2 linked regions of the Notamacropus eugenii genome follow. The protein of the gene in region 2 purifies or fractionates together with the protein of the main gene of each other region. This does not show direct contact. Links are inferred from orthologs where the notes say so. Each region holds a gene or a part of one and is shown on either strand. Other genes may lie near its edges.

Region 1 (7,347 bases), on a different chromosome or scaffold from region 2:
CGAAGCCTTGGGGGAATCACTCCCCTTTGCTCTTCGGATTTATAATGTATATGGGGGTGGGGGTGAGATTCCTTAACACAATTGTCGGGGTGGAGACCAAATAGGGGAGCAGAAAAGAAAAGAGAAAGCCGGAATGCAGGCTGTGAATGCCATCCCAGAGTCGGCGGCGATCTTGGAGCTAATGTGAAATGTGACCAAGAGAAGCGAATTGGGAAGGGAGGCCCAGGGGTTGTGACTGAATATATCTGTCTTAATTGTAATTTCCGAATTCTGTCTTGCCCAGCATATCTCCTGATCCGAGCCAAGCGAGTGACCCCGCCGGAGAATCTGGGCGTTACATCGGGGTTTACTTGCAACCAAGCGGCGGCCCACTGGGACTGTCTTCAGACTGTTTGGGGGCTATCTTTCCCCGGAAAGAAAGAAGTTGGAAGGGAGGGGAGGGCGGGTCAACGACGGGCCGAGTTTTCACATTTTTATTATCATTAATATTAATAATAATATTATTACCGCAGTATTTCACGCCGGAGAGCTAAGACAAAACTACAAACACAACACATAGAAAAATTAATAAAATAGAACTTTGTTTTTCTTCTGCGGCTGCTCCTCTTCTTCCTTTTAGGTAGTCTGTGCTCCTTCCAGTGAATTAAGGGGGGAGGGGAAGAGGCGACAGGTCTGGGGGACAGGGGGAGGCCCCCCCCAGAGACCTCCCCTCTCAAAAGGGAAACCAAATTTCTAATTCAACCGTGCATGGGACACTGTACAAAATGAAGACAAGACACGGAAAACAGCAATTTGCTTTGCTTCCGGGAAACACAATATGAGCGAGTTCCTTTCGGTCCTCAGTTAGAGTACACAAACTAGGAACCCCAGGTAGCTTTTGTGGGAGGGTTAGAGATGTAAGAGACAGAGAGGAAACCGTGGAGTAGGGGCCTATCTGGGGCTCTAGTGGCTAGCAGCTGACGGGAGAAATCTGCAGGGTGGGAGCTCCACAGGGAATGGAATTAGTCCGGCCTCTCTCTGAGGTGATTAAGAATCTCTCATCCACCCTCTTCCTGTTCCCTCCCACGAGGGCATCTGATAATATGCTTATTTTCGTTTCCCCCACCTCAGCCACCTTCCCAGACATTCCTCTTCACTTTCCTTCCCTCCCTCCCTCCCTCTGTCCCGGTCCTTCCTGGAGATCACTCTGTGGGCTTTTCTTCCTCTGCCTCCGGGCTGAGCTGGGAAGAGTTGAGCATCTTGTTTTCCTTTTTCCACTTCATTCGTCGGTTCTGGAACCAGATTTTGATCTGTCTCTCGGTCAAGCAAAGGGCGTGGGCGATCTCGATGCGTCTTCTTCGAGTCAGGTAGCGATTGTAATGGAACTCCTTCTCCAGCTCCAAAGTCTGGTAGCGCGTGTATGTCTGACGGCCTCGCCGCCCGCTGGGCCCAAAAGAAGAACCTGTTAAGTGGAAAGAAGACATTATGACACGGTCACCCTCTCTCCGTCCTCTCCCTCCCACTCCTGTCTGGGGACCCTGGCTTCAGAAGAGTAAAGATGCCTTCTCCTGTGGCCCTGACACAGTTTTCCCCTTCCTTCTCAGGTCATCTCCCTCTCCACCTACCCTCTAATCTCCTGGCCTCATTGGTTTGCTCTCTTTTCCTTCTTCCTCATCTCGCTTTCAGGAGTTTGTTGCTTTTGTGGCTGTGGGAGAGATCCTACCTGAGGCTACAAGACTGCTGGGAAGGAGTGGGGAGAATTAGATAGGCGGTAGCCAGGTGTTTGTACCTCTTCTGCCCCCCCCCTTCCACTTCACTTCCAGATGGCTAGCCTCTCTCCCTCCCAACTGGTGATAGATTTGACCATTTAATCCACAATGACGTGAATCGATCCGTGATACTCTGCATTAACGGTCCAACACTTTCGTGTCCTGCTAATGGACGTCAATTTGAGACCTTAAAGACAACAAATAATCTGATCTGATACAGACACCCATCTCTGTCTCTCCTTATCCCCTTGATGATGAGGAGACAGGCTCTCTATGATACACCTTCTCTACCTTTCCTCTCTAGGATTACCTCTGTACTCCATGGAGCACAGACCCCTAGCCTCAACCTTCCCTTTCTCAGTATTTACTGCCTGCCACCCGCCCGCTCCCAACCAACCAAGACATGACTCATTCCATTTCTAATGGGGCCGGCTACTTGGGAGTAAGAGAAGGGAGTCGTGAAAAGGCGAAAAATGAGGAAGGAAGGTAGTAGGGACCCTTTCCCCTTTCCTCCTCAGTGGTAATCTTCCCTTCTCTCGGACTCCCCTACCCCCACCGCAGTGCCTCTTTTTAGCTGTCTAGAAAGGGAGGGACTACAAAGTTTAGAACTCCAACTGTGAGAAGAGAGACTCATCTTCACTTTCTACTTACCTGGAACCCCTCCCCCCTCAAAACACACCTTTCGGGGGGGGGGGGAGGGAGTCTCCAGGCCTATGAGGGAGGGGATGGTGAATGCTTGATGAGAGCCCCGGGTTATTTCCTGTTCCTGTGGGGAGGGACAGGACCCGACAGGCCCAGACAGGCTAAAGGGTCAGGGGGAGGGAGAAAAGTATTGAAAAGCCTCACTCACTGTTGCATGAATTCATCCGCTGCATCCAGGGATAGACAGGAGTGGAACACTTCTGCTCCTCACTCTCTCCGAAAACATTTTTGTCTTGGGCGCAGTCGGACTTCCTCGGCTCGGGGTGGAAGGGGGCAGGCTCTTCGCCGCTGGAGAGGGCGCAGGCAGACTCCTTCTCCCTATAGAAGCCGGCTGGCCCATAGTCACAAGCCGCAGCCCGGTTGTAGCCCCCGCTCGCCGGTGGGTAGTAGGAAGAAGAGGCAAAACCCTTGTCCTGGACCGCCCCGGTCCCATACGCCGCGGGATAGTGTCTTAAAGGATCCGCATAGCCCGAGGAGTACAGCGGGAGCTGACCCAGGAACGACTCCTGTCCGTTGGACAGAGTAACTGGGAAGGTGGAGTTCACAAAATAGGAACTCATTGGGAGGGGAGGCGCGGTCGGTTCTGCTGAGCGGGCTTTTATGATTTGTTGTGTTTTATAGTCCGAGCGCCTTAGCTATTAGTAGTATATCCGAGATTGGGTTTTAGCTGAAGGGGGATGGCGAGGTGCCAGTGAGGGACAGAAGGAAATACAACCATATGATCAAACACTGACCAATAGCAGAAGCAGGAATTGCCAAATAGCACCCATGAGGAGCAGGGCTCGCACGAGGGACCCCGGCGCACAAACCTATCAACCTCTTTTTTCTTCTTCTTCTTCCTCCTCCTTCTCCTTTTTCTTCTCTCTCTCTCTCTCTCTCTCTCTCTCTCTCTCTCTCTCTCTCTCTCTCTCTCTCTCCTTCTCTCTCTTGCTCTCACTCAACAACAGAAACAGAACGCACCCTTCCCCACCTACGTAGGAGCTGCGAAAGAGGCTTCTGTTACCGCTAAGAGGTGGGGGGAGGGGTGGGGGAGGACTTGGAAAAGAGACTACCCCTCCCCGATCCCAGAATGATGAAATAAATATGCTCCTGTTCCTCCCTTTCCTCTCCACTATAAGAGATGGAGAAAAGTTAATTGTTCTAAGAAAAGTTAATCCCTACAGTCCTTATGACCCCCTTCCCCCAAGGGGAATATGTGGGGAGGGAAGATTCGAGTACCCCGTTGAGATGGACTGAAGAGAAAAGGTTTAATTCTTTTTCTTTCTTCTTGTTTTTAAAGGAGGTAGGAGGGGAGCGGAGTTCTCAGCTGTCTAATTAGCTTCGCTCTCAGGAAGGGGGGGGGGGGTGTGTGTGGAAACCGCGGCACTGGTTTCAAAAATCGTCTTTCCTGTTTATCTGATCGCCAGCTCTAAGCCCAGCCCCGGTCTCGAATTCCTGCCTCTCCCCAACTCTTTGTGCGTTGGGGGGTAGGGGGAGTGGAGATAGCCAGTTGGAGCCCAGCTGTAGGGGGGTGGGGGGAGAACGAAACGATGAAGAAGGTGCGAGTGGTGGTGGTGGGAAATGGACAATATCAAAGGGTACCCCATCCTGGACCTTACCGTTTCGAGTTTTCACTATGCCCTCTGGGCCACAATCGCCCTCCTCCCTAGAGGAAGGTTGCAGTCGCACAGATAAGTGTCTCTCACTGTCCTTCTTAGCAGATCTTAGCAAAGGTAAGGGCACTAGAAGTCGGGACGTTCACTTTTCCCCTTTCCGTAGACGGAAATGAGAAGGCAAAAAGGGGACCTTTGCTTGGATTTTATCTCTCTATTACAGATTCTGTGCTTCGTCGTTCCTTTCCACTTCCCAAGAAAGTTAAATGATCTCTTACCAACAACAACAACAACAACAACAAAATGCTTTGAGCAAGCTCAGGGCATTAGGATTTTTTAAAAATGTCAATAAAGTGCTGACAATTTCCCGCCACTTGATCTTTTCTCTTCAAATTCTTCCGTGCTCCTAGGGGATAGGGAATTGCCCCAACCAAATCTCCTCCTCCTCCAATTTTCTCGGAGGAGCTGCTATAGATTTTAGAGAATCTATCCTCTGGCGTTTTGATTGTTCGGTAAAGGAGGAAGTAGGGGCTGTAATTTGAACGTGGAATGAGCGAGAAAATACATTGGGATATCCCCTCCCCATCCACCCCCAATTATCCATCCGCAGCAATTTCAAATCCCTTCTGAGTCTCTATCTGCTTCTCTCTCAAATTCTCCTCTATCCCATACCCTTTAAGGTATGCAACCCCAAAAGCTTGCTGCCCAGGCATTGGACTCTGTGACTTGCTCACATCCCTACCTCCTCCCCTATTCCTCTCCAGAGAAGCTGAGTATTTGTAAATCTGGACTCATTGCAATGTTAATAAATTTTAAAACATTCTGTTTACACAAGAGGAGTCACTCTTTTCACAGACAACAGCTTTTCAGGAGTACGGGCCACCCCTAGACAACCGGGGAAAAGCAGCCTAGACAGCAGAGGGGGAATTCAGCTTGTCTTTGCTTAACTGCCTAACCTCTAGCTCGCCTCACGTCACGGTCTCGCTTTGTGTGGGAACCGGACCCTCGTCCAAGTAAAAGCAACCCTTTAGCCAAGGAATGGAGGTGGCAGGGGAGGCAAGAGAAAACCATGGGCCACAGGGCTGACTTAGTGTGTGAGGGATGGGGGGAAGGTGTGGAGTAGGTGAAAAAGTTGGTCGGAAGAAAAGCGGCGGCGGAGATATCAAAAGGACACAGGGAACTGGCAGACTTCTAGACCCGACTTGCCCCCCAAGGTCTCTAGGTCTCTGGTTCCCAGCTTCAGTTTGTCATTTTTATAAGACCTAGAAGATGTAAGGAAAAACAAAACAAAACAAAAAAGACCTGGCGAAAGGTGGAGCTGGGGGGAAAGCCCCAAAGACAGTTATCGATCTGACATCTCTCCGTCGCTATTGGAAAGTTGAATTCCCGATGTAGCTAACCCAAACTGATTTTGTCTATTTGGTGGAGATGAGAACTATTTGAGTTTCTGGAGAGTCAGAGAAAGAGCTTTGTGTTGCTCTCCCCCCTCCCCCTGCAACGACCACCTGGGATTGAGGACAGTTCCACCGACAGCAGCCCTCTAGCCCTCACCCCTTTCTCTCTTAATTTATTTTCATTCGAAGGCATTGAGATTTGGACTTCGTAGCTTGGGGATGGTAGTGGCTTGTTTTCTGGGAGCTGTAAGGACTGCAGGGAGAGGGGAGGAAGAGCTGGGAAAATTCTAACATCATCAACAGCAATAATCTCTAAGTTCCCCACGACTCTCGACAGTTGCCTGTCGGGCTGTCAGCCGCAACTGCCGGGGTCCAGGGGCGCCTGGAGCCGGCCATGAAAGAAAATTGCGGCTCATTGCTCTTATCTAAGCCGAGAGGTATTTATGGGCGTTTATTCGTCTGATCCGTTTGTTTGGGATAAAGACCAGGCCGGGAGTACTTGGTCTGAGACGCAATAGGCTCTGGAGCCAAATCGTGGTGGATCTGTTTGTAGCTGTGTCGATCTGTCTGTAGATGCGGGTGCATAAATAAATAGACATGTACATACATTTGTGTCTGTTGGAAGTATCTCTGTGGATCTGTAGCTCAGTCTACAAATGTGTATGTGTCAAACAGTTGAGTGTAAGTCTGAAGTATACACACACCTAGATCTGCATACATGCACCTAGGGGTGCCTGTGTTTGTGTGTGTGTGTATGTATAATTCTCAACCTGGGAACCAGTGACTTTTTAAGGGACCGTGTAGATTTCAGGGAGTCTGTGAACTTTGATGGGGGAAAAATTACATCTTTATTTAATCTGTAACTGAAATTCCGCATTTCCTACGATTATTTAAAACCATTATTATGAGAAGAGGTCCATAGGCTTTCCCAGGCTGTCAAAGGGGTCCACAGAAAAAGATTAAAAACCTCTAATCTAGTATATCTTAATCTTATAATACTACCATCTATCTAGGTTAGCTATCTGGGAAAGTGTAGGTTTAATTTTGAATATGGTATATTACGGTCATGTGTACATGCAAGCATTTGTTTCTCCTGTTAGTTTTGGTTAAATTGTGCTTCCTTGGCTGGTATAAATCTCCTACCTATATCTGGTTTAGAAAGGGAGGAAAATGGGAGTATATAGGAATTGGAGTCACCTTGCCTTGAGTCACTAGATCTCCAGGGTGCTCAACCTTCCTTGAGTTGAGGAACTTTGGTTAGGCTACTAGTCACTCAATTCCACCCAGGAATTCTGCTCCCCCCTCAAACTATTCTTAAACTTAGGGGTCACTGCATTACAGCAGAAGCTGTGAACTTACTCAAAGCAAAGGCAGAATAGCCCTGGAAATGAGTTTTCCATAAGATTGCCCTAAATCCTAAATGCTGGACAAAGACCTAATTTGCATTATGGAAATTGGTACTAGGCATCTCTTATTTTCCTTGGAGGTGCTTACATGAAGCTCACCACTTTCTCTCTTTCTCTTCTCCTTTTCCAGATTGCTCCAAACACCAGAGTCACAGTTATGAGACCTTCTTCACTTCCTGCCCCCCCCCCCCATCCTTTTCCTCACTCTCACCCTCACCCTCACCTTCATCCCAGGCTAATCCTGAAAGTAGAAGTTGAGTTTTCCCTTCAAGTCAAAAAGGAATAGAGCCTTTTAAGTCTCCTTTACTCCTCAGCCCCCTCAAGTGACAACACAGCGGTGGCCTTAAATCAGGGGACTTATTGAGGCCATAAAGTCTACTCACATGAACAAGGCTCTTGAAAGGACAGAGGCTCTGGTTAGAGAACGCTGGACAGCCCAGGAACCACAGGGGTGCCCCTTCCAACAGTCCTCTACAGGGAAAATCACTACAATTTCTCCCTGTTC
Region 2 (7,015 bases):
GGGCAAAACCATTCATAAGGGAATGTGTAGTAAATAGAGCACCTGCCCTGGAGTCAGGAGGACCTGAGTTCAAATTCAGCCTCAGACACTTGACACTAGCTTGTGTGGCCCTCAGCATGTCACTTAACCCCAACTGCCTCACAAAAAACCCCCAAAATCAAACAAACAAAAAACATTTCAAAGGCCCCTTTCCAGCTCTCCATCTTCTCACTCAATGATCTTATATTCAGCTCTCCTGGGTTCAATGACAATCCCTATGCCTATGACTCCCAAAGCTTTATGTATCTAGCCTAATCTCTCACCAGAATCTAGTCCCCCACAAATTACCTACCCATTGTACACTGGAATGGCTATCCCAGACACATCTCAAAATGGACATGACTACGGCCATGGAAGTTTCTTTCAAATAGGGATCTTTCTATTCTTGTCTATCTGTATTGTCGGGGCCTGGCATAGGGTCTGGCACTTTGGGAGGTGCTTATTAAATGTTTCTTGACTGATCAGTGTCCAAAACAGAATCCCTTATTTCCCCCCCACAAACTCACTCCTCTAGAACAAACTTCTTTACTTCTGCTGACAGTAAGCCTATTCTTCCAGTATTTCAAGTTCTTAACCTCAGCCCTGTCCTCCACTCCTCACTCTCCCTCTCTTGACAGACTCAGTCAGGTGCTCAATCTTCGTGTTCTGAGCCCTGCCTTAGCTCAATCTCCTATCTGTACGGTTGCAACAGCCCCCAACTGTTCTCTCCCCACTCTCATATCTTCCACAAAACTGTGAGTGACTTCCTTGAGAGAATGATGTCATTTCCCTACCCAATAAACTTCAGTGGTTCCCTTTTGCTCCAAGAATCAAACATAAAGTAGTCTGCTCGGCGTTTAAAATCCCTGGAAAACACAGCCCCAATCTACCTGTACAGCCTTCTCATATATTACTCCCCTTCCTGCACTCCTTGATTCAGCCATCAAGTTTTTCTTGGTTTCCTTTAGAGATGGCCTCCTTTCTCTGCTGTCCAATGCACTGGCTGTCTCTCAAGCCTAAAATGCTTTCTTTCATCATCTCCTCCTCAAAAAGCCCGTTTCCTTCAAAAGTCAACAAGCATCTTATTATCCATGCTTTTCCCTCCATCTCCAACCTAGCTTGTATTTATTTCAGATTTATTCCATATATATTTATATGGGTACACTGGGCTTATAAGCCCAATAACCTGTAAGCTGTTTGAAAGGACTGCATCATTTTGGGTTTTGTATAGCAGAGGTCTAGCACACGGAGAGGGCTGAGTAAATTGTCTGCTGATTAGATTGATATACTTCCTAGAAAATTATTATTCCACTGCCCTTATTTTCAAGGCCGAGGGTTTTTTTGGGTTCTGAAAATGAGTTCTCTCTGGCCTAGCAAAATTCCTTCAGAATCAGATAAAATATACAGTAGTACTAACTTACAGGACCAGCCTAGTCTACTACTACCTTTTGTTTTTCTGTTTTATTATTTTACTAGATTGAGGACAAAAACCAGGGATCAGCTACTTATGAGAAACTGGCATTGACAAAACATGCCCACGGCCCAAAAGGATCTTCAATCGGTACCTTCCGAATTAAATGAGATGTAGGGGAGAGTGGTAATAAATGACAGGGCCGCTGGCCAGCGGTTCTCGGCCCCGGCCGGAGCAGCCACCTGGAGGCTCCCGGCCCAGGAAGGGCTGGCCCGGCCTCGAGCGAAGGTCCGGTATCGCCCCCTGCCCGCGGACCCGTGAAAATCCACGGCTCGCTATTATGAAATCAGATCAGTGGGGCACGCCAGGAGCCGGGGAGCCCCCCGCTCGGCAGCACGGCCGGACCCCGAGGCCCCCGCCGCCCCGCACGCGCACCCCGGCACCCCATCTCTCCGCGGTGTTGCATAATGCACGCACGCTGTCAGGCCAAGTTGCTCCGAAGCCTTCCGTGGGAGATGGCGGTGCGGGTGGGGGTGGGTGCCGAGCGTCGGGAGGCCCTCGGGCCCGCGGGGGCAAATCCCGCAGCGGAGCCGGGATGGAAAAGTACGGCCTCGGAGGCGCCGTGACAGGCGGCCCGGCCCAGGCCCCGCCCCGGCTCCCCGGCCCCGGGCAGGCCGGCCCGCGCCCCCACGTGCCGGGGATCCCCCCTCCCCCCATGAGCCGCCCCCCGCCGCCCGCAGGCCCTTGCCTCAGACACCTCCTCCTCCTCCTCCTCCTCGTCGTCGTCCTCGTCGTCGTCGTCGTCGTCGTCGTCCTCGTCCTCCTCGCTGTTGTTGCTGCTGGGGGCGCCGGGGCCGGGGCCCGGGCCGGCGGGGCCGTGGTCGCTGTCGCTGCTGCTGTCGCTGCTGCTGGGGGGGCGGCAGGTCCGGCTGCGCTTGGCCTTGGGGTTCTGCGGCGGCGGCTTCTTCTTGAGCAGCAGGTCGCACACCCGCACCAGCCCGCGGGGGGCCGGGGACGAGCCGCCGCCGCCGGGGCCACCGAGCTCCCCGGGAGGGGGGGCCGCCGCCGCCGCCGCCGGGGGGCTCCCGTCTCCCTCCGCCTCCGCCGGGGCCGTCGCCTTCTCCATCCCCGGGACCAGGCCGGGGGGCGCGGGGGCTCCGCTCAACCGCGACGGGACCACTGGGCGGTCGGGGCCGGGGCCACCGCTGCCGCCGCCGCCGCCACCGCCTCGGTCACCTCTACTGCTGCCGCCGCCGCCGCCGCCGCGGCTCCGCCAGCTCTCACCACCTCTCGCGATACTGAGGGCGGGGAGCCGTAGCGCCCTCCGCGGGGCGGGGAGGGCCGGAGAGGGGGGGCTGCGGAGAAGAGGGAGGCCCGGGGGGAGGGGGCCGAACAGGGAGACGGAAGGACAGAGGCGAGCAGGGAGGGGAGGGCTTCTCCAGGGCTTCCGTTCCTCGGCGCTGCGGGAGAGGGCCGCCGCCGCCGCGCGCCGCTGGCCAGGCTGCCTCGGGTGCCTTTCCTCTTCGTTCCCCCTCCAGTACACCCCCACACACCTACCTTCCCTCCCTGCTACTGTCCCCTCACCTCCCTCTCCGGCTCCCTCCCTTACCACTGAGGAGTGTGTACTGCGCAGGCGCGGCCGGAAGGGCCGCTGACGTCATCAGGCCTCGCCGCACGCCGCGCGCGCCTGCCGAGCAGCTACCTCTCGCGGAAGCGGGCCCTTTGGGGAGCGCAGTGCAGTGGGGGTGGGGGGAATCCTACCCCCACTTCCAAGGAGCCGACGGCGAGCTCTAGCCGCATCCGGAGCCGCTGTAGAAACGGCTCTTCGGGTCTGAGCAGGCTCTGCGCGAGACTGGCTGCCCGAGAGGGCAGAGGGGCCGCCGGGGGGAGGGGAAGGAGAACGGGGGGCAAAGTTCGTTCCGAGGGCCACCCCCCTTGTCTCCCAGGGACCCTCGGTGCCCGGCGGGGTGCCCCAGACGCAGGCGCGGCCTAGGCACGCAGAGCGGAGGGCAAGCCGGCCTGATGCCTCAGTTTCCCCCTCTGCACAGTGGGGGGTGTGGACCGCGCCCACCCTGACGGAGCAGCTGCTCTGCTTTGAGCAGCGGTGGCTCTCCCCTTCCCTCCCCGCTCCTGCATCGCCAGGCGCCCTTTACAAGCAGACCATGCCAGCCAAGTCCAGGCCTGCCGCGCTCCGCACCCGTGGCCTCCCGCCCGAGACGGGACGCTTAGATCGCTCTTGCAGACTGCTAGCCGTAGCCTGGGATCTCCCAAAAGTCTGAAACAATTTTTGGTGTTGATGGCTTTAACGAAGTGTGCTTTGCACATAAAGCAGCAAAGAGGTGACGGCGGCAGGAAGCTGGATTGGCAGCAGCTTAAAACTGGCATCTTTTATCTAGGTTTGTTTTCCTCCCAAAGGAAAAAGACATGTGCAATTCTAAAGAAATGGGATTTTTTTTTTTTTAATTTGGTCTGTAAGAGCAACTTGGAATCACAAAAAGGTTCGCATGGGGCTTGGGCACTTTGTTTGCCCTGTGACTTCCCAAAGGTCACCCACCCAACCGCTCTGGGATACACCTGCAAAATCAAGAAGCTGGACTAAATGGTTTTGCCTCTGGAGTCCCAGGACAGGATTTCAAATCCGTCTCCTACACAACCTTTTGACCTTGGTCAAGTGATTTAACCTCCCTTGGGCCTTAGTTTCATCATCTTTCAAAGGAGAAGGTTGAAGTAGATGATCTTCCAGCTGTGAATCGATGATTCTACTACCTTTCTGTGATTCTGATAGGATTTCTCAACAATTAGTCATTGTAAAGGGTTCATAGACATCACCCCCAGCCCAAGAGCACAAAGGGAGTAGGAGCAGAGCCAGGATCAGAACTCAAAGCCAGTGCTTTACACCATGTAGTCCGGATTCTGGTTTCTCCACCTTGAGATGTTTTTTATTTCCAAGCTTGCTTAAGGAAATCGAATTTATCTTCCTCAGTCATTTTTGCAAAACTCCGTAAAAGAAGATAAAACTATTTGATGGTTTTGCTGCTTTCAGCCAAAAGTTAATGGAAGATGAGACAGTATATATAAACTATTTGTGAAAGAAGTTTGACTCGATCACCCCAGACTTCCTTTCCAGCTATGATCCCCTGCTGGGCCTACCACAATGTTTTACACAGAATTCTTTCACCAGTTTAAAGCATACTAACATGAACTGTTTTGTTGCTAACAGTTAGGATTTATATAGCATTTTAAAGGTTGCAAATCTCTGAACATGTTATCATTTGATCCCCACCAAGCCCTGAGTCTGGTGCCTTTATTATTCTACTTTTACTAATAAGGAAACTGAGACTGACAGAGGTTAAATAATTTCCACAGTCATACAACTAGTAAGTGTCTGAGGCAGGATTTGATTTCAAGTCTCCCTTTCTCCAAATCCAGCACTCTTTCACCCTGTACCACCTAACTGTCTCACAAAACAAGGGAAGAGTAAAAGGCAGCAGGGCAAATGTGCTTTTGGAATAGGAAGCATAATTAGGCAGAGAGTGAAAAAACCAAAACCAAACCTGAGAGCCAGAAGGGGATGGCTCTTAGTAAGCCTCTCTCCTGCAGGGAGAACGACAGTTCTCTTCAACCCCCTCTCTCAGCCAATGGTAATGAAACTCCTCTTCGCAAACAGAAGAGAAATGGTGGGTAGGCATGTACAGAGCTCCTCTGACAATACTCTCTATGGGGAAGAGGTAAATGAGGAGCCTGACATATTGAAAGTAACTTGAAGAGACTTGAGACAGTGTACATATATTTTAAAACTGGTTTTAGTCTGCTAACGAAGTAGTTAGGAGAAGCCATTTTGATTGGCTGACGCATGAACTGATGCTGAGTGAAGTGAGCAGAACCAGGAGAACACTGTACACAGTAACAGCCACGTTGTTCAATGACTAACTCATGAATCTGGCTGTTCTTTGCAATGAAAGGATCTAAGACAACTCCAAAAGACTTGATGGAAAATGCTATCCAAGTGCAGAGAACGTACTCTGGAGTCTGAATGCAGATTGAAACATACTATTTGCTCTTTTTTTGGTGTTTCATTGGTTCTAATTCTTCTTTACAACTTGCCTAATGTAAAAATAGTTTTAATATGGATGTTGATGGAGAGCCTATATCAGATTGCACGCCATCTTGTGGAAGGGAAGGACATGAAGGGAGGGGAGAAAATTTAAAACTCAAGCTTATGGAAGTGAATGTTGAAAACTAAAAATAAATTTAAAAACAATTGAGATATCATTTCAAGAAATCATGAAAGAAAACTGCCCAAATTTATTAGCACCAGAGAAAAAAGCAATAATAGAAAGTATATACTAGTCAAACTTCTAAAAGAAGCCCCAAAGTGCAAACCTTCAATAATTCCATAGCCAAAATTCAGATCTTCCAGGGCAAAGAAAAGAGAATACAAGCAGCCAGAAAGAAACAGTAAGAAGGCAAACATGAGTCAGCAGTAACAATAAGGGATTAAACGGGGAAACATGCTTTATAATGGAAAGGGAGAAATAATACACGTGTCCCTTCAGCATCCAAATGGCACCAAGGGTCATGGAGGGAATCAAATAAGGCAGCCTGGGAATGGTGTTGTCGTGTTTTAACGACCTTAGTAAAGAAAAAGAGTGGGGAGGGGGAGATGCACTAGGGGAGATTGGAGAGGAAAGGGAACTTACCTCTTAAATCACATCCAAGTAGAAGTCTATACAAATGAGGAAGGCTTTAGAAAAGTGGTTATCACTTCATTCTCACTTTTACCTGAACTGGCCAAAGAAAGAGGGAACACAAAAGAATTTAGGATGGAGATATATTCAACTAATTAGGGAAATGGGAACAAATGCAAAACAAAAGAGAACAAAGGGAGGAGGAGGAGGAGCTTTGGGGAGGGATTAGTTATAAATAAAACAACTTGAATCAAGAATCTTGAAGGGGGATTTAAAAAGAAAGTAAGGGGAAGTACCTGTGATAAAGAGGTGGTAGAAAGCAAAGGGAGGAAAAATTAGGGAATAGGAGGGGTAAAAATACTACAAGGTTCTCTGACAGAGGTCTCAATTTTCAGATGAAGAAATCAAAATAGTCATATGAAAAAATGCTCCAAATCACTAATAACTAAATGTAAACTAAGGCAACCACCATATTGCAAAGTTGACAAAAAGGAAAAAAATAACAGTTGTTGGAAGAGCTATATGAGAAACAAGTACGCTGATGTACTTTTGCTAGAGCAGGTAACTGGTCCAGTCATTCTAGAAAACAATTTGGATCTATGTTCCCAAAGTTACTAAATTCCATGTGCCGCTTGACCCAGAGATACCAATAGGCCTAAAAAGACAAAGAAAAAGCAAAAAGTCCCACATGTCCCAAAAGTGTATTGGCTCTTTTTGTTCTGGCAAAGAAGAGGAAACGAAGGGAATGCCCATCAGTTGGAAAAGGCTAAATAAGTGTTTATATATGAATGAAATGGCATACTATTGTGCTGTATGAAATTATGAAGGGTACAATTCCAGAAAAATGAGAAGACTTTTATAAACTGATGCACTTAAGAGAGCAGAACCAGGAGAACAA

The links. The genes of interacting proteins can lie anywhere in the genome.
Region 1: the proteins of ANKRD17 (region 2) and HOXB6 purify together in Homo sapiens (co-immunoprecipitation; 3 studies listed by BioGRID and IntAct, with this or other methods). This does not show direct contact. The link is inferred for Notamacropus eugenii from reciprocal best matches to the Homo sapiens genes ANKRD17 and HOXB6.

Annotation. Positions count from the first base shown.
Region 1 is NC_092873.1:352,427,157-352,434,503, reverse strand, and holds HOXB6 (homeobox protein Hox-B6), read right to left. Parts: upstream 3,011-7,347; coding exon 2,599-3,010; intron 1,442-2,598; coding exon 1,182-1,441; 3' UTR 459-1,181; downstream 1-458. UniProt on the Homo sapiens protein: Sequence-specific transcription factor which is part of a developmental regulatory system that provides cells with specific positional identities on the anterior-posterior axis.
Region 2 is NC_092878.1:153,499,887-153,506,901, reverse strand, and holds the start of ANKRD17 (ankyrin repeat domain-containing protein 17), read right to left. Parts: upstream 3,015-7,015; 5' UTR 2,556-3,014; coding exon 2,178-2,555; intron 1-2,177.